4 linked regions of the Rhinolophus ferrumequinum genome follow. The protein of the gene in region 1 purifies or fractionates together with the protein of each later gene. This does not show direct contact. Links are inferred from orthologs where the notes say so. Each region holds a gene or a part of one and is shown in the gene's direction. Other genes may lie near its edges.

Region 1 (7,952 bases):
AAATACTCCCTTTACCAACCTCGGTGTTTGAAATTTAAGGAGTGAAAGTCAGACCGTTAGTGCTAAAAGGGGCTTCAGAATGACACATGGTAATTTTTGTTGCTATAACATCCTGGTGGCCTACTTATTTACCCCTTTAAGGTAACTAGTCCAAATTAATCCAAATACTTAAAACAGTCGTATTTCATTATTTCTAAGACACATACTTTTCCACATTTCAGCATCTGTGAAATCGCAATGCATCGTAGAATGCATGTGATAGGCAAGCTCTTTCATACAGATGTGCAGCTTCTCCTTTCTAAGATGGAATCCTAAAAAGCCAATGAAACATGAAAGTTTCAAGACTAAGCACATGCTCCTTTCACAATGTATATTTTTGCCCTGCAAATATTTATTTGATCTCAGAAATTAATATAATCCTTTGAGCTAATGTGGCACAAATGTGGAAAAATCTATTAAAAATACAAGCATCTTGGAAACAGTAACAAACCAGTATAAATTTCTGTATTTCTTTCATGGCAACTGGGAAGATGAAACAGATGACCTAAAACTTGAAACAGCATAGCCTGTAGGGCCCATAAGATGACACAAGGACACCAGGCACTGATGAAGAATTAAGAACTCTGAAACACAGCACCAGGCAGGGGGTCAAACGCCCAAGGCCATTTAGTTTTAACACTCTATTTACAAGCCTCGGCTTCACACTGAGTAAAAAACTCCAAATCGAATCTTTCCATGGAGGCTCCCACCAGCTCGGAGGTGCTCTGGAAACAAGGAGGTGCTCTGGAAACAAGCCGCTCCTCTCGTTACCATGAGAACAACCGATGCCCTCTCAATTGCCAGCCCTAAAGCTAAGCACTGCTCCCCTCTCCCCATCGTTACCCTGCTGTTTCCACCTGCTCAATACAGATCAAATCATTTTTCTCCATGCCCACCACTGGTGCTGTTTCAATCTCTCATTATTTAATTCCTCTGTTTACCCCTTCCCACCTACGGGGAGGAGTCCCACTGTTGGAGGACAGCAAAGAGCACGACAGCATGTGCCGCCAGGAGCAGCACCCAGGATGTCACCCCACTCCAGGGTTTGCAGTGTTGGGATTGCCAAGAACGACACGGACAACACTTTGAGAAGGAACAGCAAGACAAGCTTCAGACGTTACTGCTGGTCCCCCCACTGCCTACAGCTCTCACCTGCAGCCCATCAGACGGTCTTGCATGTCCCTCTCATGAGCAGGGAAGGGGCCACATGATGCTTGAGCAGCACAAAGAACATCAAGCCCAGGACAGGGACAGAGCAAAGCTCAGCACAGGCGGCGAGGGCCCTTACCTCTTTACAAGGAAATGACCCAGGCCCAAGGCCACTGTGGCCCTGTGATAGGCGAGAAGCTGTGCAAGACTGCCTTTCCCAACATGACACATGTTCATTATTGAAAGAGGGGAAAGCCATCTGCAGGAATGCAGTAAATTATATCCCACACCTCACCACCCAGCAGTAACCAGTGACGTTACACCACTTCTGGCATCTTTCTGTGCACATGCACAGTGCTACAGAAATTGATCATCAAGCGTGTTATATATGCTGAGACAATACAAAAAAAACTGCTTCAAATATTACACATATTTTTAAGAAAACTTGAAATTAACAGAAGGAAAAACTAAAGTCAAATTGAAGGAATTGTAAAACTTCGTAACGATGTTACTCTTCCTCTCAACCCTGTCCTTTTGTAGCTTATTTTTACTTTGTCCCCAGTGATCTCCAATGTTGGCCTGAAACTTGAGGCCCGAGTGACTTTCTTTAACCCGATATTCTGCTGTTTATTGTAATCAATTATTCCTGATATACAGAATGTACTTGTGTGTACCAAAAAGGATTCTCTTCCTTTCTACAAACGTTTTCCAGATTTTCATCTTGCTCAGGACGAACATGGGGAGCTGGTTCACACCTCTCAGTGAATAGTCCTCCTCCATGAGCCCCCGCCTGCCTGCTGAGGGCTGTCACCTAGAGCAGCTGGACTGCCAAGTGCACTTTCTGACTAGTCCACAGCTTGAGCACTCAGGTGAAGAGTAAACAACGAATACTCTACAGCGTAGTAGTAAATGCATTTCCGACTTACGATATTTCCAACTTAGCATGGGTTTATCGGGACATAACCCCATCCATGGTAAGTCAAGGAGCATCCTATTTGGTAGGTGGGATTCAAGTCCCATCAGTTGGACTTTAGAGATCATCCTAGATAATCCAGTAGGCCTGATCCAATCAGTTGAGGGCCGTAGCCGGCTGTGGACCCAGATTTCAAGCAGTGCCCTTCCTGATAGACTGCCCTACAGATGAGGAATTCAGGTCGCCGGGCAGCCCCCCCAACTGTATAAGCCAATTCTTTGTTATATAAATCTCTTAAAACTGCTGATGGTTCTGTTTTCCTGGGTGAACCCTGATACAGTGGCCTACATGATTTTCTTCCAGTAACCTGTTTAATGACCACCTAATCACAGGACACGTATCACTCTGGTGTATCTGTCTTGTTCCCAGCCCCACGCAATGCCCTGAACTTTTGCAAACTCAACTGGTTTCTGCTGGGCTCCTCTGGACTCCCACTGCCTTTTCCTTGACTTCTTAGGGCTGTGTACATTAGCTTCTCGGTCCAGTTCCAAAAATTGAGAATTCCTAAGATTTGTTAACCAACCTCCCTCATTCCTGCTTCTGGGAGAGGGACAGGTCTCTGCGCTACCTCCACACCAACCATCCAGTCTTTCAGAATCTGTTTTTTTGGAGGTATAGTATAAGGTTCTTTCCTTGTTTGTTTAGGACAGGAATTTTTCTAATCTTGATCGGGAGTAGAGGATCTATTGAACAATCTCACCCTGCCATCTTCACCCTAGTCTTCCTTAGCATTTGTTAGAGTGCTTTCTCGCTGGACTGAGCTCACTGTAGGGAGCGTCAGCACCATCTTTCCTTTATGCCCTGAGGGTCTAAGTACAGCACCTGGCAAACAAAATCTTATTTGTTGGAGAAAATATACACTTTAATCTTTGAACAGAGGTTTTCATCAACCCAGTAATAACAGTTCCTCCCTCTAACTGAAATCAACCTTCTCTGGCTTTATTCTGGGATGATATACTGAACTGGACTCATACTACTACATAAACTTAACAAGCCCCTTCAAAAAGACAAATAAGGTCCAAATCTTTAAAGAGCTGAGTTCTAGTATATTGGGCTTACAGTTTAAAATTACACACCTTTAGAGGAACGTAAAATACTGTGTGAAAAACAGTTTGGCGGTTCCTCAAAAAGTTAAACATAGAATGAGCACATGATCCTGCAATCCTACTTCTGAGTATAGAACCAACTGTATCCCACTTCTGGGTATAGAACCCAAAGAACTGAAAGCAGGCTGAAAGAGATTTGTACTCCCATGTTTACAGCAGCATTATTCACTGGCTGAAATGTACAAACAACCCCACAATGCCTATCAATAGATGGACCAACAAAATGTAGTATATCCATACAGTGAAATTTTAGCCATAAAAAAGAATTGTTGTATGTGACACCATGAATGAAGCTTTAAAACTTATGCTAAGTGAAATAAACTAGACAAAAGAACAAATATTGTGTAAGTCCACTTATATGAAGTGTCTAAAGTAGATAAATTCAGAGACAAAGTAGATTACCCTGGATATACCCGGACTGGTATAGAATTTCTGTTGCGAGGGAATGAAAAAGTTGTGGGAATAGATTAACAGTAATGGTGCACAATGTGAATATACTTAATGCCACTGAATTGTATCCTTAAAAACAGTTAAAATGGCAAATGTAATACACACACACAAAAGACAAATTTTAAAAAAGTATACCTTTCGTACTGCTACTAAAAAACCATTATGATGTCAATCAAACGAAGGAATTACACGTACATGCTGCTTGCTGTGTATAACGTTCCTAGTCAGACTCGGGGTAGGTAAGGTACACACAAGAGATACACATTCAGGGGCAGGTCTTCACTGAGCACACATCAAAATCTTTTCTATTATGCATCAGATCAGAAACCACCCCGGTTTTGCTGATATTTGATGCTACGGCAGTAAGGCTCAATATCACCTGGAAGTGCTCCTCGAGGACAACACACATCACTCGACAGCATGGCTGACCCTTCCCCGTGACTGTAGTACCATGTATTCGACCGGCAGCCCCTTATGGGCGGCTGCCGCATTTTAACGATCTGCGTGCCATTGCTCTACCAAGCAGCCATAACTCCACAACGCCAAAGGTTCACCATTAGACGCAGAAGCTTACAAGACGGGTCGGACCGATCTTTTCACTTAACAGCCGAAACTAACTCTGTGAGAGTGGCGCCCGCAGGCTCAAGTGGGGGCTGCTCCCCACCGGCCCAGGGGACTCGCCGGTGCCCGCTCGTCCCGCGGCCCACTCACCAGGTGTAGATCTGCAGCTCGCTGGATGGCACGTTCCCTCGGGAGAACTCGTCCATGCGGTGATGGCGGCCGTTGTTGGTGGTGAAGACGCGCAGCAGCAGCGGGCACGTCTGGGGGACAGGAGTAAAGGCAAGGGAACAAGCTGAAGCGGCGCGGCCAGCCTCCCGCAGGCGCCGCGGCCTCCGAGCCGCCCCCTGCGCGCAGGCCCCGCTCTCCACCCCGCCAGCCCACTGGCACCTCGTCCGGACGCCTCACCTTCTCCCGGTCGATCGGCTTCTCCGGCTCCTTCTTAATTTCCTCCTGGGTGACGCGCGACTCCACCGCCATCTTCCTCCTGTGGCCCGCGAGACGCTCGCTCTGACCTCCGACCCCGGCAGCTAGCATGAGAACGAAGTGTCTCGCGAGGAGAAGCTCGAGGCTTTATAGCAGACAGGGCGGGGTGAGGGTGGGGCGGGGCCTTCCGCGGCGCAAGCGCATTTTGTTGCGCGGTGCACTAACCCAGACAGGCCGCGCCTGCGCGTTGTGTTGTTCGGGAAGAGGCGGGCGCTGGCGTCCCCGCAGCGGAACTTCTGAGGGACGTCGCCGGACCTTGTTGGCCAAGGTATTTATGCATTCCCTGAAATGTTCACAGGCCAAATAAGCTCACGAGGGCGTATTCGCACGAAATTATGGAAACCTTAACGCAAAACGCCTAAGAACAGTACAGGAGGTCCTGTTGTGAGTAAGCAAAAACATGCCTTTATTAGCAAACTGTCGAGCTCTTTTTTGATAGAGGTAGGGTAACACGTGGTAAAAGGGCCCGAACGTGGTCCCTGAGTTAAGACTAGGGAGGCACTGCAAAACAGAGGGAACAGTGAGTGACCTGGACTGAGGGAAGAAAGGACTCCTCCCACCCCACCCCTACACAGAATTTCGGGAGCGGTCAAAGACCTAAGTGTGAACAGCAAAACTCGCACTTTCTGGAAATAACATAGTAGACCGTCTTCATGACCAATGGATAGGGATATGTGATACAAAAAGCACTAACCATAAAAGGTTGACAAAGTTTGCTAGATTAAAATAGAAAAAAAAACAACAAATCCTAACCTTCAGCATACATCATAAAGAAAGAGAAGCATAAATCACAGAGTGGAAGAAGGTATCAGGGGTGCATGTGATTGACAAGAGCTAGGGTCCGGGATATGAAAGAACTAAAGAAGAATTCCAATAGAAAAATGGGTAAAATCATTGATTTGAAAATGGAGAAATCCACATGGCCAATAAACATAAGGTGCTGAAGCTCATTACTAGTCAGGAAATGCATTAAAACCACAGTGATCGGCTTTAATTGATTGGTTTTAAACTACACGTACCTCTGGGTAAAAATTGGAATTCTGACAGTTGTTGGTAGACTAATGGGAATTCTCAAATGGTATATATACCACTTTGGGAAGTAGTTTAGGATTATTTAGTAAAATTGAAGATACGTATACTTTAGATCTAACAATACCACTCCTTGGTATATACCCTAGAGACAGCCTTGCTCAGCTGTATCCGGAGACATAAGAATGTTCTTGGCAGTATTGTTCATAAGAAAAAAGAGTGGAAACATCCCAAGTGTCCATTAGCATTACAGTAGTTCAATGAATTGTGGTATCTATACAGCAACAAAAATGAACAAACTACAGCCACATGAAACCAACTGTGTGAAACATCATGAATTTCACAAGCATAATGGTAGGTGTAAGAAGCCGAAGACAAAAGAATGTATACTATGTGAACCCATTCTTACAACATTCAAAAGCATGCAATGCCATATTGTTCAGGATTCATTTCCAGGTGATAAAACTATAAAAAGAAAAGCAATGAAGTCATTACCACAAAAGTCAGAATGGTCGTTAACTCTGAGAAAAAAATGGATTGTGACCATGGAGGGGCAAAGGTGTTTTTTTTTTTTATTGAGGTGGTGATTACACCGTTTGATTTTAAATTGTTCTTTAAACAGTACATTTATGTTTTATGCATTCTTCTGCATGAATGCTGTATCATGCTATTTTAAAAAATACCCCACCAAAGGAAAAAAAATGCCTATAAGTCAGTAAGAAAAAGACAATCCAATAGAAAATGGGCAAAGGGCATATAGGCCTTTCAAAGAAAACACAAATTGCATGTAAACATGAAAAAATGCCCAACCTCATGAATAATCATAGAAAAACGCACATTTAAATCACAATGAGATAACATTTCACAACTAGATTGGCCAAGATGGAAATCTGACAACCAAGTGCTATGAAGGAGATGGAGAAAAGGGAGTTTTTATGGGCTACTCTGATCTACTTTGGAAAAATTGATGTTATCTAGAAAGACTGGATATGAGTACACGTGAAGACCCAGCTATTCCACTTCTATGCTATGCCCCAGAGAAATTGTTACACATAGTCAAACTTTTAGAAACAATTTGAATGTCTACCAAGAGTATATTGGTAAAATGGAATACATAAAGTTGAAAGTAAATGAATGAATGAATATGCTCTTTTAAAAGTAGAATTAAAAAAGCAAGTCAGAAAAACGCAATGGGATTCAATTTATGCAGAGTTCAAAATTAGGAAAATATTCCCTGTCTCCCCCCACCCCCACACAAAAAGTACTGTTTAGGGAAACAAACACCACATGGTAAAACTATAAAGAAAAGAACTGGGATGATTAAAACTAAATTCAGGATAGTGTTATCTCTGAGAGTAAGCTGGATGACCCAATTTATGAAGGGCATCCTGGGAGCTTCTAAAATACTAGAAATGTGCTCTTTCTCACTAGGGGTGGGGGTGGTTTTTCATTTTTACATTGTAGCTGTACATTTTAGATACTCGTGTGATTTAGATCACTGTTAAAAATTTTTAACTATTATTTAGGGATAGGACCTTACATGCAGTCAATATCCAGTTTTTTACAAAAGATTAAATTTCCTTCAAGTTCTATGATTCTAATATTAAACCTTTTTCAAAACCTCCATAGTATAAAAATACAGACACATGAGGGCACTCTAACCAATAAACTAAAGGGAAACATTGAAACTGAAAATGAACCTCATGACCTCTTAGTGGTGACTGGGAGGTTTAGTCGCTTAGATGTAAGCTTTTATAATGGACCTTTCTGAATGAGGCTCTCATCAAAATGGGAGTCCTGATGCCTGTGACAGTGCAACTGCAGCTGTATATCAGAACAATTCAGGCTGACTTTCAGCATCCCTCAGTCTACCTACTTGGCTTTCTAGGTCCAGCACTGAGCACAAACTGTAAAATTTAAGTATATGCATCCTTTCTCTTTATAGAATTTACAAAGGAGAATTACAGTTCTCGGTGGTTCTGAGAGCCATCTCCTTACCAGTACATTTTAAGCCAGTGGAACAGAATGGGGGTTGCATTTGCTTGTCATGGAGTTGAATCTCTCACTTTACCCCCTATTTTAAGCATTTGAATGATTATATTGAAATGGTTTTTAAACGAACATTCTCTTCCTCAAGAGTCTGCAGTGTCAACAACATATGT
Region 2 (7,647 bases), on another chromosome or scaffold:
AGGTAGGGGAGTCACACCACTATAGTCTTGCTGCCAGCTGGGTTGGAGACACAGGAAACAGGAGCCACACGATCTGCAACCCTCACTCCGCCACTTGCTGGCTCAGCCACCATCTTCTTGCTAGCCCCCATTTTCTGCTAGCGTAGCCACAGCAGTTATATTAGTGGCCAATGGCTCACTGGTTAGAGCTGACGGCCAACTAGCCACAGCTGATGGCCATCCAATCACAGTTGATGGCCATTTACTACCTGAGCCAGCACCTTTCCACGTGAGGCTGAGAGCCTGGAAACTGCACTCCTGGCTCTGTCCCCACAATAACAATTTGGTACTTTGGTACCAACAAGAGCAAGCACAAACGGACTGTGGTACTGAAATTGTGTTTAGAATGAGAAAGTACTCTCTGGGCAAACAGATAAAACTACTCAAGCTACACAAAACTTCTGAAATTCAGGGATTGCATCAGTTAAAAAATTGGTCTAAAATAATATTTAGGCAAAAATCCAATCGCATTCATTTAGCAAATATTTGCTGAGTATCTACTCTGATATAAGGCCCACAAGAGGCACATGTAAAATACAAGTAAATAGGGATTTACTTTCCAAAAGTTGGTCATCTGATAGAGGTGATAAGACATGTCAAAATTTCTTCCTATTAAATACCAAATGTTGATTTAGAGTATATATGTTCCAAGAACTGTCTAAGTGAATTCTATACCTTAAATCATTTAATTCTCACAACCCTATGAGATTGCCCCCCCCATTTTACAGATGAGAAAACTGAGACAAAAGGTTATAAAAATAATCAAGGTCATATGGTTATTAAGTAGCAGTGGCAGGGTTCAAACCCAGACCATCACCTCCAAAATATAAGCTTTTTAGTCACTATTCTATCTTGATTCTCTTAAAATAAAATAAAAAGTAAAAAATAATATAAGTATGTGTTTACTAGAGAAAAAATGGAATTTTCAGAAAAGCAAGAGAACATAAATCCTGAAATTCCGACTCCCTAACACAAGAGCTATTTAATATGAAAATACTACTTTCTAAAAACTTGAATTGTGATTGTACTGGGGGTGACAAAAAAATGTATACAAGTGGACACTTTGGTCAATGTTGCTCAAGCAGTAGTTCGCCATAATCAGAAGTGTCTGGATGCTGATGGTAACCACTTTGAGCACCTCTTGTAATTGCAGAAGTCAAACGTGGCTTGTATTCACCTTTTGTTATCAGTATATATTGAGTATTACAATGTTAATAGTTTTTTTCCTTTCTTAAAATGTGTATACATTTTTTTGGTACCCTCTGTATGTTGTAAGAAGGATATAAAGGTCTATAGAGGAAGGAAAGAGGATTTCTGGCTGGATCTTAAAGGACAGGGTGTGATGAGGATGTTGGGTCATTCCAGCCAGAAAGAATTTCAAGAACAGGAGCAATGATTCAAGGAGGTCCAGGGTTTATTATGGAAATAGGAAGGAGTTGTTTGGCTGGAGCACAGCCTTGAGCAATGAAGCTAGAAAACCAGAAAACTAAAGGCCAAGTCAGAAAGAGCACTGAGTCACTTTGTCTTTCATCTTATCAGCACTGGTAATACTGCACTGATTACCACTTTTCTCTCTCTCTCTCTCTTTTATTGGGGAAGGGGAACAGTGTGTTTTTTCCAGGACTTTGTTGGGCAACAGTGTGTTTTCCCCAGGACCCATCAGCTCCAAGTCAAGTTGTCCTTCAATCTAGTTGTGGAGGGCACAGCTCAGCTCCAAGTCCAGTCGCCATCTTCAATCTAGTTGGGGTGGGAGGGGCCAGCCCACCATCCCATGCTGAAGTCGAACCGGTAACCCTGTTGCTCAGAGCTTGCAATCTAACCAACTGAGCCATCCGGCCACGCCGGATTACCACTTATTTCTGTATCAATCTCCTCTATTAGACTGGGATTTCCAGTCTACATGTCCATTCATTCAATGAGTAGTTTCTGTGTACCAAGCACTGTGCTGAGCATTAGATTAAATGAACAATCTATATCTCTGCCACTAAAGGAATTCACAATCTAGTGGGAAGAAAATGTAAGATAGTTCTGATGGAAATATGAACAGTGTGGGTTTTTGTCACTTGCTACCAAAAACACCTAGCTAAAGCAGACTATTACCAACAAATCTGGCCATGGTCTCCCTTTCTATATGTCCACACTCCCACCATATAGAAGCCAGATCATAGGGAGAAAACAAAAGAGGTTCTTAAAAAAATAAAATCACTGTTATCAAATGAGGACTCTGTTAGGATCGACCAGATACAACTAAGTGGTGGGGGCCGGCCCGGTGGCTCAGGCGGTTAAAGCTCCATGCTCCTAACTCCGAAGGCCGCCGGTTTGATTCCCACAAGGGCCAGTGGGCTCTCAAACACAAGGTTGCCAGTTTGATTCCTCGAGTCCCGCAAGGGATGGTGGGCAGTGCCCCTGCAACTAAGATTGAACACAGCACCTTGAGCTGAGCTGCCACTGAGCTCCCGGATGGCTCAGTTGGTTAGAGCGTGTCCTCTCAACCACAGGGTTGCCAGTTTGATTCCTCAAGTCCCACAAGGGATGGTGGGCTGCGCCCTCTGCAACTAGTAATGGCAACTGGATCTGGAGCTGAGCTGCGCCCTCCACAACTAAGACTGAAAGGACAACAACTTGACTTGGAAAAAGTCCTGGAAGTACACACCGTTCCCCCAATAAAGTCCTGTTCCCCTTCCCCAATAAAATCTTCAAAAAAAAGAAAAGAAAAAACTAAGTGGCAAGTAAGACAATGACTGAAAAATGCCCATTGGATTTAGAAACTAAGACAGTGGAGATCTTGGTGAGAAAAGATTTTGTGGGAGGGTGGGCAGGGTGCAGAATCTGGATGATGGGTGCTGAGGAATAAAGGGATGGTGATGTCATGGAGACACTGAATAAAGACTGTTATTGTACCAGAACCCCTTTCTGAGTTGTTGGATGGTTCTTTGGGAGGGTCTGAGGTAACTTTAAAGTGAGATAAAAATAAATTTGTTTCAAATGGCCAATAAGCACATGAAAAGATTCTCAAAATCAACCAACAGGGAAATGCAAATCGAAATTACAATGAGATACCACTTCACACTCACTAGGGTGGCTGTAATAAAAAAGACAAATAGCAAACGTTATTGAGGTTGTGGAAACATTAGAACCCTCAGATATTTGCCAGTGGGAATATAAAATGGTGCAGCTGATTTGGAAAATAGTCTGACAGTTCCTCAAAAAGTTAAACATATAGTTACCATATGACTGTGGGGGAAGAAAAAATAATTTTCCTCCTACCTTTCTAAGTTCTTTTGGCAGGACTAATAATCGAATTAACATGAGACAGAGTAACAGAAGAAAATGACCAAATTTATTACGTATGTATATATATGAGGGCTCCCTAAGCATGTAGGACCAGAGTACAGATGGACACTTAAGGCTTATATACCATCTTGAGCTAAGGAGAAGAGAGGATTATAGTTGGGACTTCCAATGATATGAAGACAATTCACATGGAGATGAAAAAGCAAAAGTTTGGTAAATAAATGTTTCCTGGGTCATTTTAAACAATGGGACACAAAGAAAACTTTGATCAAAAGGCCTTGCTAGGTTCCTTCCTGTCTATCACACTTGATTCATATTAAATTATCGTTACGTATGATAATAGTTCCCATTTGGAGCAGGTTTTCTATCTAAATTCTTTTAGGCAATTAGGGGGAAGATTAAAGTTCTCTCAGAGTCTTTTATTTCTTGAAAATAACCAGCTTAAAATAGTATCCTAAACGGCATATTTTGGGGTGGTAACGTCTACTTCTCCTCATGACCAACCGGTACAGAAATATTCATAGCAGCATTATTCATAACAGGTAAAAAGTGGAAACAACAGAATGTCCATCAACAGATGAATGGATAAAATAAGGTATAATATATTCAAACAATGGAATATTACTCATCCATAAAGAGGCATGAAATACTGGTATATGCTACAATACAACATGGATGAATCTTGAAAACATCAAGTTAGGTGAAAGAAGCCAGTCACAAAAGACCATATATTGTACAGTTCCATTTATAGGAAACGGCCAGAGTAGGCAAATGCACATAAAAAGGTAGACCAGTTATTGCCAGGGGTTGGGAGGAGGGAGGAATGGCGAATGACTGCTAACGGGTACTGGTTTCTTTTGGGAGTGATGAAAATATTCTAGAATTAAAGAGTGGTGATGGTTGCACAACTCTGTGAACATACTAAAAAAACACAACACTGGAGCATTTTTTTAAAAGTGTGACCTCTATGCTATATGAAATATATGTCAATTTAAAATTACATTTTCACAATTGCAGCATTCATAGACGCTCCATGCTATCCAGGGAATGTAAACCAAAAGCAACAAATACAAGGCCAGCCACTCCCCCTCACAACCCGCACCCCACATACCCCCAAACCCCCATCCCCCCCACGCATACCCCCACCCCGTCCAGGGCCGCAACACTACCATCCCTGTGGGAGAAGCAAGGCCCGGATTGAGGGCTGTGACTGGGAGAGGTGATGACTGGGTGAGCTCTAAAAGAGGGCGGGGTGAAAAGGGGCGCGTCCAGTCCCTGTCGGCGAGGGGCGGGGCAGAGCGAAGCCTTCTCTCGCGAGATTATGCTGGTTCCGCATTTGAGATCTCTTAGGTGGGGGAGGCCGGCGAGGTGGGCGCAGCATCTTGCACCGGCTTATACCGGCTCGACCCCGGCTCGGAGCAGCAGAGGCCAGTGCTTCTGCTGTCGGCGGGCTGAGGACTGTGGGCTCCGTCCCGGTTTCCGCGCCGGCTCCGAATCCTGACCGCGGCGGGGGCCAGCGGCCCCTCCCGTCCCCTCTGAGGATAGAAGATGAGCTTCCTCTTGTGAGTGCGGCTCGGCTGAGGGGTCTAGACCTGAGTGCCGAGGGCGGGTAAGGGGGAAGAGCAGGGTCTGAGGCGAGGGCCGGACCCGGCGTGGCCGGCGCTTGCTTTGCCCCGGCTGGGGGCCACTGGGCAGGCCAGGACGTGGGCCGAGGCTGACGGTCGAGGCAAAGGAAGTGGAGCGAGAAGGCTGGGGAGCAGAAAGGCCCCGAAGCCGGTAGGGCCTCCAAACTTTTCCGCCTGAACGCCCCTGAGGTCGGAAGGACGATCTGGGGGCGGAGCCCCAGGCCCTACCGCAGGCTCCCCATTTCTCTAGGCTGGTGTCTTTTCTAGTAGCGATTCTTTGCTGACTTAGCTTTTTACTCCACCGTTTGTCCAGCTTTATTAACGTCAGTATTAAATGAACCCAGCGGGAAAATGCCGCCCCAGGAAAACGTGGAGTGCTGCAGTTTGAGAAGCATTGCTCTAACACCTTATTCTCAAGCGGCTCCCTCTACGTAGTATATTGCTTAAATATGTGTTGTATGGTTGGATAAATATCCATTTTAAAAAAGTTACGGACATCACCCACATACGTGACATTTTTATTAAACTTTATTAAGTTACATATTTTTTCATAACTAGAATTTATCTACATAGTTCCTTATTGTGAGAAATTTGGATTCTTTCGCTATTATAAAAGAGCACTACTGGAAATATCTTTGTCCAAATCGTTTATCCCCTCCTTTTGATTATTTTTTAAGGGTATAGGCTCCAAAGTATGTCAGAAAGTCTGTATGATTTAGATTTTAATTACAAATTTCTATATTACTACAGCAGTCCCCCAAGTCTTATGAGTTAATGTTTAGTTAGTGGTTTGTTTGTGGACGCACAGTTGCTTGGTTGCTCATTAGACCTAAATGTAAGGCTGTTTGTTTGTTTTAAACCTTGTTTTGTTGATGGACAGTTGAGTTTCCACTTTTGGCTTTTATGAATAATGATGCTATGAACTTTTGTGTACTACAGATTTTTGTATTGGATGTATGTGTTCGTTTCTATTAGCCATATACCTAGAAGTGGAATTGCTGAGTTACATGGTAACTATGTTTATTTAACCTTTTGAGGAACTGCCAAACTTTTTCAAATCACTGCACCATTTTGCATCCCACCGACACTGTTTGAGTTTCATTTTCCCAGCACCCTAGCTAGCATTTGTTAGTTGTCTTTTGGATTATAATCATCCTAGATGGTTGTGAAATGGTATCTCATTGTGATTTTAATTTACGGTTCCCTAACGACTGAGAAGGTTGAACAGCTTTGGGTGCTTATTGGCCATTTGTAAATTTTTTTTTGGAGTAATGTCTTCAAATCTTTTGACCATTTTTATTTTTAATTATAGTTGACAACCTTGGATCATTTTTAAATTGGGTTGTTTGTCTTTTTGTTTTTGAGTTGTAAGAATTCTTTATCCTGGATACAAGTCCCTTATAACATCTATGATTTGCAAATATATTTTCCTATTTTGTGGATTGTTTTCACTGTCTTTTTATTTATTTACTTTTTGGTTTTTCTTTTTTTGTTTTGTTTTCACTGTCTTGATAGTGCCATTTGAAGCACAAAATTCTTAATTTAGATGAAGATCATATTGAATCATAAGCCATCATTCTGTTAGTTTTCCATATGTAGCTTCCTGTCATTCACAGCTTTCTATTTGTGAAGGGTCATTCCTTCTAATTTAGTACTTCCCTATTAAATGTAGGTATTTAGCATGTTAAGAATTTTCCATGTTTGATTTTTACTGTTTTTGTTATTCCTTTTTACTTCTTAATCAGCCTTATTTAAAATTCAAATTACTCGGGTAAAGTGAAAGCCCACAGTTTTTGTTCCCTTACCCCTTCTTAGAAGTAATCACTGTATCTATTCTTTTTTTTTGTTTTAATTTTTTTAAATTTTTATTGGGGAATGTTGGGGAACTGTGTGTTTCTCCAGGGCCCATCAGCTTCCAGTCAAGTCGTTGTCCTTCAGTCTAGTTGTGGAGGGCGCAGGTCAGCTTCAAGTCCAGTCGCTGTTTTCGATCTTAGTTGCAGGGGACGCTCGCTGCCCACCATCCCATGCGGGAATTGCTCACCATCCAATGTGGGAATCGAACTGGCAACCTTGTAGTTAAGAGCTCACGCTCTAACCATCTGAGCCATCTGGCCGCCCCTAGGTGTATCGATTCTGACACTTGCAATGCATTTACAAAATGGGTTCTTGCTATACATTTGGATTTGTGTTTAACCATATCTTGAGATCTTTCCATGTGCATAGATGTAGTTCTATCTTGTTCTTGTATCTTGTTCTTAACTACTATATAGTACTCTATGATACAGATGTATCATGGACATATCATAGTTTTATTCATTCTTCTAATAAACCTTAGGATTGTTTCCAGGTTTTTTACCATTAAAAGCAATCTTGAAAAACGCATCCTTGTTTATATCTTAAGATACCTAGAAGTGGAAGGGACAGATTGAGGAGCATTTCAGTGTTAACATATACTGCCATATTGCCCTCCCCCAAACACCTAACACTTTCACCAATAGTGTATTAAAGTACGAATTTCTCTATAACACATTTAATTAGGTGGTTTTAATTTTTGACACTCAGATTAAGGAAAAATAAATCTTACTTTAATTAAACAGCCTTTCAGATGTTCGTTGCTCAATGTTATTTTTCCTTCTTAATTGCTTGTTCATCTCCTTAACCTGTTTTCCTAAAGGGTTCCTTACCTTTT
Region 3 (7,043 bases), on another chromosome or scaffold:
ATGTATCTATTTGGTTCATGGTTCAACACCCCCTCCCCCAGAACGTAAGTCCCAAATAAGACAGGGGTGTCTCTTGTGTTCACTGCCATATTCCCAGCACCAGGAAAAGGACCCAGGGCATCCTAGGTGCCCAGTGACATTTGCTCAGTGAGTGAATGAATGCATGGTGAGGGCAAGGCCCAGGAACAGCGAGGAAGTCAGTGTGGCTGAAGGGGAGCAAGCTGGGGGCATAGAGGGAAATTAGGGTGTCCGATCATGGAGGGCCAAGGGGAGGACCTGACACTAAGTGTGATTCAGGATGCTGCTGGAGGATGGAGGCTTTGGAGCTGGGGAGGGACACGATCTGACAGATGTTACTGAGATTCTGGGCAGGTCAAGTTGAACATTCCACGTTTCGTTACACAAACGAATCAAGTATTCTCTAAATAATGAAAAAAAAATTCCACATTTCATGAGTGTGTTCATGGGCAGACAATTTTTACATCTGCATGCTCATGAAAATAGACTTCAGGACTAAAGGAAAACTGTGTGTTGATACTGGCTTCTGTTACCGCGGCGGGGCCCCGGAACGAGCATTGCCCTGGCATGGCTTCACTGGTAAAATAGAGCATAGGACAATTCTTACTCAACAGACAAAACAGCATGTTATCGGTAAGCACTTAAACAAAATGATGCATGCTCTGCCTATTTACTGATAAATATCTAGCTGTTCAGTAACTCATTTTATAAACAACTGGTGTGCACGTATTAACACATTTTTGGAGATATTAATCTGCAGACGTTTCCAAGCACACAGAACAGTCCAAACCGGCCTATCTATATTAAATAACCACGCTGTCCTTCTAAACGCGGGGCACAGAATTTGGAAGCATCTCTGCCCTTAATAATTAAATACAGCAGTAAAACCACCAGCGGCCCCCTGGCCATTTCTAGCATTTCTAAGTACCTTTTCACAGCAGTATATTATGAGCTGTGTTGCTCATGGGACTTCATCTTTATAAGCTGTTTTGTAAAAGTACAAGGAGCTCCACTGACTAGGAGGGGGCAAGCTGGTTTGGTCAGGAAATACGTGGATCGTGGGTTCAGGTGCATGTGTTTAGTTGGTGGAGATGGTGCAGTTACTTCTAGACCTGCAGTGGGAGTGGGGCGTATTGTCCATGGTTTCTGAGCACTCCAGGCAAACCAAGATGGGGGCAAAGGAGGGGGGCAGGAGGGAACCATGGAGTGTGAGCCTAGGTTGCTGCCCAGCTAGGATGAAAAGAGAAGACTGATTTGCAAAAGGCCCCGGCTGTTGTCAGTGGCTCCTGCTCGGGGTTCCCAGCTGCAAGCACTGAACACCCAGAGAGCTGGCCCTGGGCTCATTAGACTTTGCACAGGGTCGGCCCCATGTTCCCAGTGCTTTGTCGCCTCCATCCCCAATACTAAAGGGTTAGGCTACGTGGGCCACAGCCTTCCACTCTCATAGATGTGCTCACCTCTGTGTGCACCAGGATTCTGCCACAGCGCCTTGAGGAAACATGGGACTTAGGACTCTAGTGGCTCCCAAGTGTGGCCCCTGAGCCAGCAGCATCAGCACCTGGAAACTTGTTAGAGATGCACATTCTTGAGCGCCCACCCCAGAGCTGCCGAATCAGAAACTCTGGAGGTACGTAGGTCCAGCAACCAACGTTTTAAGATGTTCCCTAAGGAATTCTGATGTGTGGTCAAGTTTGGGAATCACTGATCTAGAGCAGCTCTAGGTGATGCTGATGGAGCTGGTTCCAAGACCATACTTCGAAAACCACTGCCCTGGAAATTTCATCAGCAAAGTATTCAATTTATGAGTAATCCTGTTATGAATTAACAAGTATTCCTGAATACCTAAGGGCATAACAATGTTGAATAATGCTTGCCTCTGAACAAGGGGATTGTGGGCAAGTTTTAAGAAGTTTACGTATCTCTGTATTGTTCAAAGTTGTTATCATGAACATAATAGTATTTTATACTTTTGTAGATTAAAAAAATTAAAAGATAGTCTAAAAGTAAAAATACCTCACTCTAGTATCCTTCTTTATAGCAGTGCTTCCCAAACTTGATTGTGCAAATAAACCACTCAGGAATATTGTGAAAACGCACATTCTGGTTCTGTCGGTTGGGGTGGGGCTCAAGATTCTGCATTTTCAACAAGCTCCCTGGTGATTCCAGTCTACTGGCCCAAGAATCACACTTTGGGTTTGCAGAATACAAAGCATTTTCTTGTATATTATTTGTTCCTTGTCACAACCCCGGCAGATATATTCGCTAATTCCCTTATTCAACCATTAGATATTACTATGTACCAGGTACTGGGCTTACAGATGTGGTCTAATGAGGTTGAAACCCAACCAACCACCAAAAAAGCCTTATGTAAACTGATATAGTAAATAATTAAAATAGTGATCAGGACTGATCAGGAAATTAATTAGAGGGTGCTGAAAAAGAACAACAGGAATGACTCTGGGAAGGCGGAGATGGGAAGGATGAGCCTGAGATGTTCAAGGACAGGCTCTTGGCACACTCCAGGAAGCTCCTGCAGCTAGAGCGCAGGGAGGTGAGACTCCGAATCAGGTGAGGGGGGGAAGCAGGGCCTGCTAGGATGGGAGCCCTGTGGCAACGCTCCGATTTCAATCTTTCTGACGTAGCTTGGAGGGTGTGAATCAAAAATGGGTTCTATAGGAAGTCACCTCACAGGGTGATCTGATCATAAATTCCTAACTGGGAAGGTTGAGGTGGGTGGTCAGGCCCCAGGCATATAACTTTTTAGTGAAATTATATCTTTGCCTTAAGCAAGCCCTGCCCATGGTTTCTGTGCATCTAGGGTTAACCCACAATGAAATGCCTCTTTTCAGACCCTTCCTTCTAAAAAAGCACGACCACATAATCTTAATTATCCTGTAGGCCGGTGGCTGCTTTCTCCCACCCTCGTGTAATAACCATCCTTAGTTACCTCCTTAATTCCAAATGCATAAAAGAAGCTGCAAACTGTCATTTCTGGGGAAGCGTTTATCTCAAACTGTTGAAATCTTGATTCCTGGCATAGCTTCTGTTTGGCCCAAATAAACTTTTATAAAATTCTCTAAGGTTTCAACGTTCTTAAATTGACAAGGGTTTAAGTAGGGAAGTGACTGGTCTGATATTTGCCTTAGGATCACTCGGGCTGCCGTGGGGGAAATGAAACCTCTCCTGTCACCTCGGAGTTGGTGCTGGGAGCCGGGAGCCCGGGGCCATATGAGGAAGATCCCGAGTCAGCCGCGCCCTCCAAAGTCACGGATCTAAATGGGGGTCAGGAATGCCTATACGATAAGGAGCCATCAGGACACGCGTTTTAATTGTTGCCCTGAGGACCTCAGAGGCCCGCGCTCCCGGAACAACGTGATCTTTCAGAGGACTTGGGCGCCCATCCACGCTTTGCTGGTCACGACGGCATCCCGGACATTTCCCTTCTGTGCCTTAGTCTCCCCACCTGTCAAAGAGGACGTCGGGCCAGCCCACGGGTGACACCCCGGGGTCTCCAACCGTGCACCTTGGGCAAGTTGGGCGGCGGGCACCGCTGGATCAGAGGCGGCGTCCTGAGGCACACGCGGGGTTGGCTTCCCGCCCGGGAAACTGAGGCACGGTGGGACGAGGAGCGCGCGCCTCCGAGACTCCCGCAAACTCAAAGCGGCACGCTCTCGGGGCCACGCAGGCTGCCCAGGTCTCCTGCCAGAGGTCACAGCGCGGAGGTCGGGGCCCAGCGCTGCCAGAGACCGGGCAAAGCCGGGACTCGCAGGGGACGGCAGTGGCAACGGGGCCCCCCGGCGCAATCCTGGCGCTGGAACGCAGACGAGCGTGCGGGACACTCCCCCGTCCCTCCCACGTCTCCCCAGCCTCGCGGGGCACCGGCGGCTGCGCCAAGGTGCCGGGCGCAGACCTGCCCCGGGCGCCCGCCCTCCCGCGCGCCGGCCCCGCCCCCCGGCCGCGCCCCCGCCCCCCGGCCGCGCCCCCGCCCCTCGCTACCTCCCCCGCCTCCGCCTCCTCGCAGGCCCGGGAAGTGCTCGGCCAGCGACCGAGCGGCAGGGACGGCGGTCGGCGCACTCACTTCCGTGTCCCGCCGCCCTTCGGCCCGTGCGCGCCCAGCCACCGCCGCCATCGGACAATAGGCCGTCCGCCCCGGCTGCGGGGAACTTCCTGCCGCGTCCCGGGCGGCCCGTGCGCCGCAGACCGCGCTCCCTCCTGGCGCGGGCCAGGATTACAGCTCCGGGGCAGCCGCCAGCGAAGCCGCGGGGACCGAGCGCCCGGGACGTGCCTGCGACTCTGGCCGCCGCGCGTTTGCTCCGGCGGGACGCGTCGGCGGCCTCTACACTTTCCGGCGGAGCCGGCTTCACCCCTGCTCCGTACACCGGCAGCTGCCTTGTGGGTTTCCGAGTTGGGTTGCTTAAAGAGGATGTGATTTTTTTTTTCTTTTCTTTTTTCTTTTATGATTTGAAAAAGAGAAAAGAACCGCACAGCAAGCTGGGACAGCGAAGCGCCACCATCTGCCCCCACGTGGACACCTCCAAGGGGAAAGGGAGTTGGAAGCCAACTTGGTCCAGCTGGCCTTGCGGCCTCAACTTCGGCTAGACTCTAAGGCCCGGGGTCATGACTCTCACGCTGGGCAGGTGGAAGGCTTTACTTCTCCTGGGCTGGACTTGAGCCCCCCGTCCTTCTCCAGCATTACCCCCTCCTCCCGTCCAAACACACGCATCCACACTACCCTGCGCCTTGGTCTACGCCCCCTCACCGGTTGGCGACATGGATAAGTACGACGACCTGGGCTTGGAGGCCAGTAAATTCATCGAGGACCTGAACATGTATGAGGCCTCCAAGGATGGACTCTTCCGAGTGGACAAGGGTGCAGGCAACAACCCGGAGTTTGAGGAAACACGCAGGGTGTTTGCCACCAAGATGGCCAAAATCCACCTCCAGCAGCAGCAACAGCTCCTGCAGGACGAGTCGCTGCCCAGGGGGAGCCGAGGCCCGGTCAATGGTGGAGGCCGCCAAGGCCCACAGGCCCACCGGGAGGTTGGTGCTGGCAGCAAGCTGACCATGGATGGTGCTGCCAAGCCCCCTCTGGCTGCCTCGACAGCAGCTCCTGGGACAGCCACCGCCATCACTGCTGGGCAACCCTTGTACCCACCCCAGGAGCAGAGGGCCAGGCAGTATGTCCATGGCACAAGGCCTGGCAGCCAGAACTGTGGTTCCAAGGAAAACATGGCAGGTTCTGAGATGTCTACTTTCCCCCGGCTGGGCCCCTGCGAGGATCCTTCCTGCCTCACCCATGGAGACTATTATGACAACCTCCCCTTGGCAAGCCCGAAGTGGGGTGAAGGGCCAGGAGTGTCCTCCGGCATCAGGCTGGGTGTAGGGAGTGGGTGGCCTGGCCCCCCAGGAAGTGATCCACCACTGCCCAGACCTTCCAGGGACCATCACCTGTACCAGCCTCAGCTCTCCCCGAGTTCCAGCAAGTCATTCGAGAGTGGCCAGGATGGTGGTGGTTGTGGCCGCAGCAGTGAGAACCCAGCAGGTCTTTGGACCACTGCCTCTTCCCAGCGGGTGAGCCCTGGCCTTCCTTCCCCAGGCCTGGAGAACGGGGCCCACCTGGGGCCCGCTCAGCCCAGGACCCCCTCTTTCTCAGCACCACTGGCCCTGAGCTGCTCCAGTCAAGGAGCTCTGCCAAGAACAAACTCGGGGGTGGGGAGTGAGGTCTCAGGCATAATGCCCAAACCAAATGTGGACCCTCAACTCTGGTTCCAGGATAGCCCCAAACCTTACCTTTCTAGTTCTGGCCCATCATCCTTACCGGCCAGCATGGACAGTTTGCAGCTGGGTGCGGCCCCTGGCCTGGGTCCCAAGCCTGGCTGTACTGACCCTGGCATTGGTCCCAAGCTCAGCCCCACCAGCCGTGTCCATCCAGTGATGTCCACCCTGCCTGAGTTATCTTGTAAAGAAGGTCCCCCTGGCTGGTCCCCTGATGGCAGCCTGGGGCCTGTGCTCCCAGAGAGCCCCAGCACCCACAGAGTGAAGCTGCCCTGCCAGACCCTCATCCCGGGCCCTGAGGTTGGGCCCTCGGCCGCCGAACTGAAGTTAGAAGCCCTCACCCAACGTCTGGAGCGTGAGATGGACACTCACCCGAAGGCCGATTACTTTGGTGAGTGAGAGGTTGGTGGCATTGCCCACAGTAGGTGATGGAGTCCCCCACGGGGGATGCTGTAGCTCTCCTTGAGTGGCCGGCCCCTCCCTCCTGCCCTCCCCATTAAATTTGGCTTCCTTTTTCAGCTGTTTCTTGTGCTTCAGAAACTTGAAAGCATGCGTGGGCAGAAAGCAGATCTTGCAGCTGGGGGTTACCCATGTGCGAAGGGTGAAACAGGGTGGGATTGCTCGTGACTGCTTTTAGAAAAGGGAAGTGCTATGACTTTGGTTTTCAAGGGTTTCGGGAGTGCCTCAGAGCCCGTGCAGTGACTGGCCTGTTCAGGACTTGAATGCAGCAGCTTTCCCAGGTGCCAGTACCCCCGAGCGGTGGTGCATCCATAGTCGGTTGGGCCAGACAGGTCCAGCTATTTGAGGACGGGTGGTGGGACAGGGGCTCTGTGCAGCCATGTGCGCATGTCTGTCTGTCTGTCTATAGGTACTGTGTGCACTTGAGGCAGCCGTAACAGGAGCATGGAAGACTGTTCTAGAGCAGTGGTTCTCAAAGTGTAGTAGTCTTCTGGACCAGCCCCATCCCTTTGCCTGGGAACTGGTTAGAAATGCAAATTATAGGGCCCCACCCCAGACCTATTGCATCAGGAACTCTGGGGTGGTACCCTGCAATCAGCATTTGCAGAGCCAGCCAAGTGGTCTTGACATGCCGGGAAAATGGAGCTCTGTGGACTAGATAGGTCCCTGCTAACTCAGCCCCCATCCAGGGTTCCAGCCAGCAGCCAGGTGACTCCCTGTTCAGGGCTCACACTGGAAAGCTCCTTGCTGGTTTTGCTTCAACTTGCAGATTGGGTTTTATGCTCTTTTTT
Region 4 (7,083 bases), on another chromosome or scaffold:
GGAGGGTAAGCCAGTTCTAAGATTTGACCTTGGGGTTGGGTTCTCTCAGGCATGGATTTTACACAGCCTTCCTTTCATCCAAACCCTCTCCCCAAACCTAATCCACAGTGTGTTTCTCTTCCTAATCTCTGTCCTGTGCTCCTACCATAGCTTTTTGCCAACCGATCCAGTATCATGAGGCATTTCGGACCTGAGGACCAGCGTCTGTGGAAGGATGTGACAGAAGAGCTGATGTCAGATGAAGAGGACAGTCTTAATGAACCAGGTGTCTGGGTGGCCCGGCCTCCCCGTTTCCGGGCCCAGCGCCTCACAGAGCTCTGCTACCACCTGGATGCCAACTCTAAGCATGGCACTAAAGCCAACCGTGTGTATGGGCCTCCCTCAGACCGATTACCATCTGCTGAGGCCCAGCTCCTTCCACCAGAACTTTATAATCCTAATTTCCAAGAAGAGGAAGATGAGGGAGGTGATGAGAATGGACCTGTCTCCCCATCTTTTGACCAGCCCCACAAAACCTGCTGTCCTGACTTGAACTCATTCATTGAAATCAAGGTGGAAAAGGATGAGTGAATTCTATAACCAAGAGTGACTCTGGCTTCCGCCACTCCCCATGTCCCAGTAATGGGTGGCTATCGGGCTTCCCAGAATAATGAGATGTCCTTGCAGTCTGAGAAAGCAAGTCTGCCTCTCTTCTTAACACAGTCCCTACTGGAAGTGAAAGCTGGAAGCTCTGGTGGGATAAAAGGACTTATCTGGAAAGGGGACCCCCCCAACACACCCATTGTGAATGGCAAGCCAGAAAATGCTTATTTCTAAGCATAAACAGTGCCTCGGAAGAGCCTGGGATGAGAAAAGGAGGAGGATGGGTCTAAGAAACATGAGGCCTTCTTGACATATGCCTGGGTCTCTGAGTTTTGTTTTTTGTTTGTGTTTTTGTTGGTTTGTTTGTTTTTTCAGGTTTCACGCAAAGCTCTGGGGAAGCAGCCCTGGTTGTACTTGCTGCTTCTCAGTGACTTGCTCTGCAGTAGCAGCAGCACTGGACCCGTCCTGGGTAATACTGCCACCTGGTGGGCAGTTTCAGCCATGGGCTTGCTCCTCCTGAGCAGAATAGGGGCTCCATCCCTGTGTGGGAATTAGGGTTTAGATGTAATAGGTATTGGTTATTGAATTATATAAAGCAGACTTTATTATTCCCGTCCTACACATGAGGAAAGTAAGGCTTAAAGAGTTCTCATGTGTGACTGGCACCTGCTCTGTGACTGTGTGAGCAGGTAGTTTACAGGGCTTTGTAGCTATTTATTAGTCCTGTCAGCCAAGCTGTATTTTAAGGAAGGGGTGATGTGTGTGGGTGTGTGCGCATGCACACACACACATACACACACACACACACTAGCATACAAAACGTGTGCATTTTTAATAGATTGAGAAGTAAAAATGGATTTCCATTCAATCATTCATATAACAAACATTGATTGCTTACTAGGTGTAAGGCTTCTTAGAGTGGTGTTTAAACTGTTTCCTGAAAGATGGGGAGGAATTAACCAGAAGGAAAGGGGAGGCCAGGAGAGTGTTCCAAACATAGGCAACAGAAAGTACTAGAGAGTACAGACAAGGTGCAATTTTACTGCATAACACTTCGGGGAGGGGATGCTTAGCGAAGAGGTTGGAGAGGTAGAGGCCTTGTAAAATATCTTAAAGAGTGTAGACTTCAGTTCAAGGGCAGTGAGAAATCACTGAAATGTTTTAAGGAGGGAAACAAGATGATCAGTTTTGTGTTTTAGACAAATCACTTGACCTCAGGGTATGAGATGAATTCGAGGGAGAAAGTCTCCACAGCGAGACTTTTGTAGTGGTTCAGGACAGAAAAGATGGTGGCCTGACAGACACAGTGGTGATGAAAGGAGCACAAATATGAAAGATACTTACAAAGCAAAATTGATAGGACTTGGTTAGATTTGAGGTTAAGGGAGAACATAAGGTTGCTGTTCAGGTTTGTGGCTTAAGCAGCTAAGTGGTTAATGGTACCATGTACTCAGGGAATGCTGGAGGAGCCAGTTTTGGGAGGCAGGGAAGGTGAGGTCAGCTTAGGGTGTTGCATGCCTTTGAGACAACCAAGTGGATGGAATTTTTTAAGTCCAAGAAAGTCTGGGCCAGAGATACAGATTTGGGAGTCATCTGTATATACACGTATATAGTAGACCTTCAAGTCTTGGGGATGGAAAATAGGGCCTTTGAAGCTCCTGGCTCCAGTTCAGACTACGGACTGGTTACCCCGAGGTCATGAGCACTACTGCAGCATGCCTTCAGCACACACTTCTCCCCCCTTCACTCGTGTCCACTTCATGATACCCCGAAAACACAGTTGTTGATCCCAACTGTGCTCATTGTGCCACCACCAATTCCTGGACGGATGGGCCTCCTTTAATGGTTTCTCATCTTTTCATAAGATTTACTCTCCCATCCTCACCTCAAAGGAGCAAAGCTTCCAAATATTAGAGGCTGTTTGGACATTTTGGATGTAAATAATTGGAAGGAAGAATCCACGTCTCCTTCTCCAACTGGAGACAGCAAAGGAGGGAGACCCTTATGGTTAATTCTGAAGATGTCACTCATAAAAGTTCTGGATGCAATCTGATAGCTCACCTGCTACTACTAATGCTTTCAGTCCTCCCTGCTTTCAGTCTGATACTAAACTCTCCTCTGGATCAGAGAAAAGCTGTAGGCCTGACCAGGGAAACAGAGAGGCTGATTCTCAGGAGAGACGAGGCCAGGGAAACAATGCAGCTAGGACAAAGAAGCCAAAAAGTTCGTGCCAAATTAATTTCCCAAAAGATATTAACCTCCTTTCCTTCCCCATTCCCTAAGGCTACACTAAGATTATAAAGGTGTTCAAAATGTTTAGATGAAAATAATATGCATGATTTGTTTGCATATAATTTTCATACTCATTTACTCATCTAAATACAAAGGAGTCAGTTACCTTCTCCATTTTACTTCCTCCGTCCCTTGCCCCTTATGTGCTAGCTTGGGCAAAATCAGTTGGCTGGTATTTGGTTAGGTATATTCAACTTCAGCCTCGGTTTCTTCTTTTCCTTATCCTTGATCCTTCCAGTATGGCCAGTATCAGCCTCTTTTCCTTTTCCATCCCGGTCATTTTCACTAGCTATCTCCTCTAAATGACATTTCTTTTCTTCCTCTTAATACTTACTCTTTATCACCAATCTCCTGTGGGCCAACCAAGGGAGAGGCATTCGCTAGCCCTAAAACCAGGCCTTCTATCCCCAGTTATCTGAAATATTTGCTAAAAATTTCATTTTCCAACACCAGGGGGTGTCTATCCCTCTACCTGTCCTAACCTGAAGCTAGAGATTAGTCCCAAACCTTGTCCTCCTTTTACATAGACACTAAAGCTCCTTCCCTCCCTAAATAGAGCTTTGAGTTCAGAAAGTGGTGTCTTTTTGTTGCAATTTATCTCTCATTCTCTCTGGACTTGCACAAATTTGTCTTTTTCTTAGGCTATTCACCCTTCGGTCTCAGCACCACCCTCGATCCCCTTTGCTCCGGCTCCCTTTCGCTGTCTTCCACCACCTCTCTATAAAGACTTCCCAGCCTTTCTGGACTCTACGCACGCGGCATTAAAACTCTTTCTGTATCTACCTTCCTTCTTCTCCCTGTCTTCCTCTTTATGGATCTCTCCCTACTTCTGCGTTAGTTTCTCTCCATCTCTCCCAGTCTCCACACTAAGAACAAAGTCACGGTGTTTGCGCACAACATGCCTCGCGTCGTCCCCGTGCCGACCGCGACCTTCCACGGTGCCCCTCCGCGCATTCCAACTGCAAACAAAGAGTCCCCCCCAAAAAAACTTTCCTGTCCCAATTCATGAGTGACGTAGTAGCCGCTGCCCAAACTTGCCCTCCTCTCTTCAGTTGGTGGATCTCCACCTCCAGGACAGTTAGCACCAGCTCCCGTCGCCCCCTTCAGCGAACCAGAGATCCCTGCGCAGACACCCTCGTTCCTCTCGCAGTCGGCGCTCCGCCCCTCCGGGAAAGTAGATCCGGCCAGGCAGACAAAAGTTTGGGAGAGGAGTTTGGTCTGTGCTGAGTGTGAAAGTGAGCGGGGCGGGGGCCGAGCAGAGTGGGGCGGCGGGGCAAGTCGACGCGTGAACAGATTGACCTGCGGACGGGACAGCCGCGGCTGTAGGCCCTTGTAGACCTGCTTAGCTCCTGATGCGCGGGGGGACGCAGCCCCTCTCGCTGGGGGATGCTGTGGGATTACTGGCGCTGGGCATCCGGGCCGCTGGCTAAACCTGTGTGCTTACCCTGTGCCCCTTGGGAACCGGAGTCCGACAGCAAGGAAAGAAGCGGCCGCCGAGACGCTGCAGGGTGCCGGGCGGGAAGGGGGCTGGAGGCCCCAGGTCCGAGGGCATGGAGCGGTTAGGGGAGAAAGCCAGTCGCCTGCTGGAGAAGTTAAGACTCTCGGACTCCGGCAGCGCTAAGTTCGGCCGCAGAAAGGGTGAATCTAGCCGCTCTGGGTCTGATGGGACCCCCGGGTCGGGCAAGGGGCGCCTGAGTGGGTCGGGGGGACCTAGGAAATCAGGGCCCCGTGGAGCTACTGGAGGACCTGGGGATGAGCCGCTGGAGCCAACCCGGGAGCAAGGCCCCCTGGACGCTGAGCGGAACCCGCGCGGCTCCTTTGAGGCGCAGCGCTATGAAGTCTCCTTTCCCGGGGGCCCACCTCCCACCCGGGCCTTGCCTCTACCTCAGTCATTGCCCCCCGACTTTCGGCTGGAGACCACGGCCCCAGCCCTAAGCCCCCGCTCCAGTTTCGCCAGTAGCTCAGCCAGCGACGCGAGCAAGCCGTCCAGCCCCCGAGGCAGCCTGCTGCTGGACGGGGCGGGGGCTGGCGGAGCCGGAGGTAGCCGACCCTGCAGCAATCGTACCAGCGGCATCAGCATGGGCTACGACCAGCGCCACGGTAGTCCCCTGCCCGCCGGGCCATGTCTCTTTGGCCCACCCCTGGCGGGGGCTCCGGCGGGCTATTCTCCTGGAGGGATGCCTTCCGCCTACCCGGAGCTCCATGCTGCCCTGGACCGACTGTGCGCTCATCGGCCCGCGGGGTTCGGCTGCCAGGAAAGCCGCCACTCGTATCCTCCGGCCCTGGGCAGCCCCGGAGCGCTAGCCGGGGCTGGAGTGGGAGCGGCAGGGCCCTTGGAGAGACGAGGGGCGCAACCCGGACGACACTCGGTGACCGGCTACGGGGACTGCGCTGCGGGCGCCCGATACCAGGATGAGCTAACAGCGTTGCTGCGCCTGACGGTGGGCACCGGTGGGCGAGAGGTCGGCGCCCGTGGGGAACCGTCGGGGATTGAGCCGTCGGGTCTCGAGGAGTCGCCGGGTCCGTTCGTTCCGGAGGCGCCCCGGACCCGGATGCGGGAGCCGGAGGCGAGAGAGGACTACTTCGGTGAGTAAGAAAAGTGGTTAGGGACAGGAAGGGACCCGTCACCACATTCTGTTCCTCACTGCCCCGACCGTCCACATTGCCGGCGCGGGGAGGTCGGAGGCGGAGACGCGGCGCTATTAAGAGGCCAGAGGGATTTCCCTTCCCACTGGATTTCAGCTGGACTAGGGGCTCCTTATTTCTGCTATATTGTAACCTGATTATCTCGTGAATCCCAGTTCCCCAAGCTTAGAGCCTCGGTTTTTCGCGGTAGCAGGCCTCGTAGGGAGGGGACCTAGGGGCAGTGATAGCATCCCCCATCTTGCTCCCCCCTTGGCGGCGGTGCCCCAGCAGGCTTCTGCGCGCTGCGCCCCCACCCCGGCCCAGGCTCCGCCCGCAGGAATTCGGGGAATGCGCGGGGGGGTCGGGGCGGGCCGGCCGCGTGCGTGCCGGCTCCTGTCCCGGCGCTCCAGGTGCCCGCGGGCGGGGCCGGCCGCCCGGCGCTGGGCAGAGGGGTGGGGTGCGGCGGAAGGGAGGGGGGGGCCTGCTTCCTAACACGCGCCGAGCGGTGGCGGTGGTTGGGTAAATGCAGCCTGGGAGGGAGGACGAAGCGCCCTGGAACGGAAAGCAGGGACCCTTCTGCTGGCTCCCTCCGGTCCTGCTGGCTCAGTGTGTGCGTGGGCATTTAAGCGGAGACCTGGTGGTGTCAGTTTCTATTTTTCCCATCCTCTGGAAGTCAGGGCAGAAGCCATGACCACCAGGACACCATCGCCCCTGGATGGATAACAACCTTGTGGAACTGCCAGAAAGAATCTGGCATTCATTTCTGGCCATAACTTGCCCAGAATTCAGGCTAGAATTAGCCTCTTTTTTGTGGCTGTTAAGGACACCTAGTCATATGCTCTCTCCCACATGCCATTACCTTTGAGAAGTACTGATTATGTCTCAGCTATGCGGGGAGGGGAATATTGGGGTCTTGAAATATCTTATAGCCAAGACCCACAGGCACCACTTCATATATAAAGAAATACCAATCACTGTGGTAGGAAGAACAGAAAGAAGCCAGGGCTATGGGCTTCTTCAGTTTTCCAGGTATCTCCTCACCTTTCTCACCATCCAAGTTCCTGCCCTGGATGGACCCCATGCTCTTGACCTCTAGAAATGTGAATAGAGAGGGAAACTTGCCCAGGGAGGGAAGTTGAGGAGGTACAGAGGTAGCAGGGCTGAACCGGCCCTGCTGAGTTCGATCCAATACCACCATCCTTTTCCCACTACCCTTAGAGGGGAAAGCCCGGAGCAGATGATGCTTTTTGCTCAAGGGAGACTAAGTAACAGGATCCTTTTTTCAGTTTCCTTTTGAGGCCCAGGAGAAATGGCAGTTGGTGGAAAGAAGTCTCTTTGGCTAAGCCATCAGAGCCAAAAGGAAAAAAGAGCTCAGAGAGAGTGCTATAAAATGGCAGGAAGAACCTAGGTGTGGATATCCTGGGTTAGAGGAGGTGAGGCGGACATGCCTGAGCAATTTGCTCTGGTCTTCCTATAATGTTAAAAGCTTCCCAAAGAAATGGCTCTGACAGGGCCCCCTGGCATGGCAAGCTTGGGACAGATCTACACTTCAATGAGGCCACACTTTGCCCCCAGGGGTGGGGG

Evidence for each region. The genes of interacting proteins can lie anywhere in the genome.
Region 2: the proteins of LATS2 (region 1) and MOB1A purify together in Homo sapiens (affinity purification with western blotting; 9 studies listed by BioGRID and IntAct, with this or other methods). This does not show direct contact. The link is inferred for Rhinolophus ferrumequinum from reciprocal best matches to the Homo sapiens genes LATS2 and MOB1A.
Region 3: the proteins of LATS2 (region 1) and LIMD1 purify together in Homo sapiens (affinity purification with mass spectrometry; 3 studies listed by BioGRID and IntAct, with this or other methods). This does not show direct contact. The link is inferred for Rhinolophus ferrumequinum from reciprocal best matches to the Homo sapiens genes LATS2 and LIMD1.
Region 4: the proteins of LATS2 (region 1) and AJUBA purify together in Homo sapiens (affinity purification with western blotting; 3 studies listed by BioGRID and IntAct, with this or other methods). This does not show direct contact. The link is inferred for Rhinolophus ferrumequinum from reciprocal best matches to the Homo sapiens genes LATS2 and AJUBA.

The regions. Positions count from the first base shown.
Region 1 is NC_046287.1:104,818,734-104,826,685, reverse strand, and holds the start of LATS2 (serine/threonine-protein kinase LATS2), read left to right. Parts: upstream 1-4,934; 5' UTR 4,935-5,029; intron 5,030-7,952. Other genes in the region: histone deacetylase complex subunit SAP18, read right to left, coding at 4,429-4,538, 4,684-4,812. UniProt on the Homo sapiens protein: Negative regulator of YAP1 in the Hippo signaling pathway that plays a pivotal role in organ size control and tumor suppression by restricting proliferation and promoting apoptosis.
Region 2 is NC_046296.1:17,798,611-17,806,257, forward strand, and holds the start of MOB1A (MOB kinase activator 1A), read left to right. Parts: upstream 1-4,644; 5' UTR 4,645-4,881; coding exon 4,882-4,895; intron 4,896-7,647. UniProt on the Homo sapiens protein: Activator of LATS1/2 in the Hippo signaling pathway which plays a pivotal role in organ size control and tumor suppression by restricting proliferation and promoting apoptosis.
Region 3 is NC_046300.1:9,550,896-9,557,938, reverse strand, and holds the start of LIMD1 (LIM domain-containing protein 1), read left to right. Parts: upstream 1-4,040; 5' UTR 4,041-4,788; coding exon 4,789-6,184; intron 6,185-7,043. UniProt on the Homo sapiens protein: Adapter or scaffold protein which participates in the assembly of numerous protein complexes and is involved in several cellular processes such as cell fate determination, cytoskeletal organization, repression of gene transcription, cell-cell adhesion, cell differentiation, proliferation and migration.
Region 4 is NC_046289.1:73,541,556-73,548,638, reverse strand, and holds the start of AJUBA (LIM domain-containing protein ajuba), read left to right. Parts: upstream 1-4,080; 5' UTR 4,081-4,424; coding exon 4,425-5,460; intron 5,461-7,083. Other genes in the region: C6H14orf93 (uncharacterized protein C14orf93 homolog), read left to right, coding at 151-570.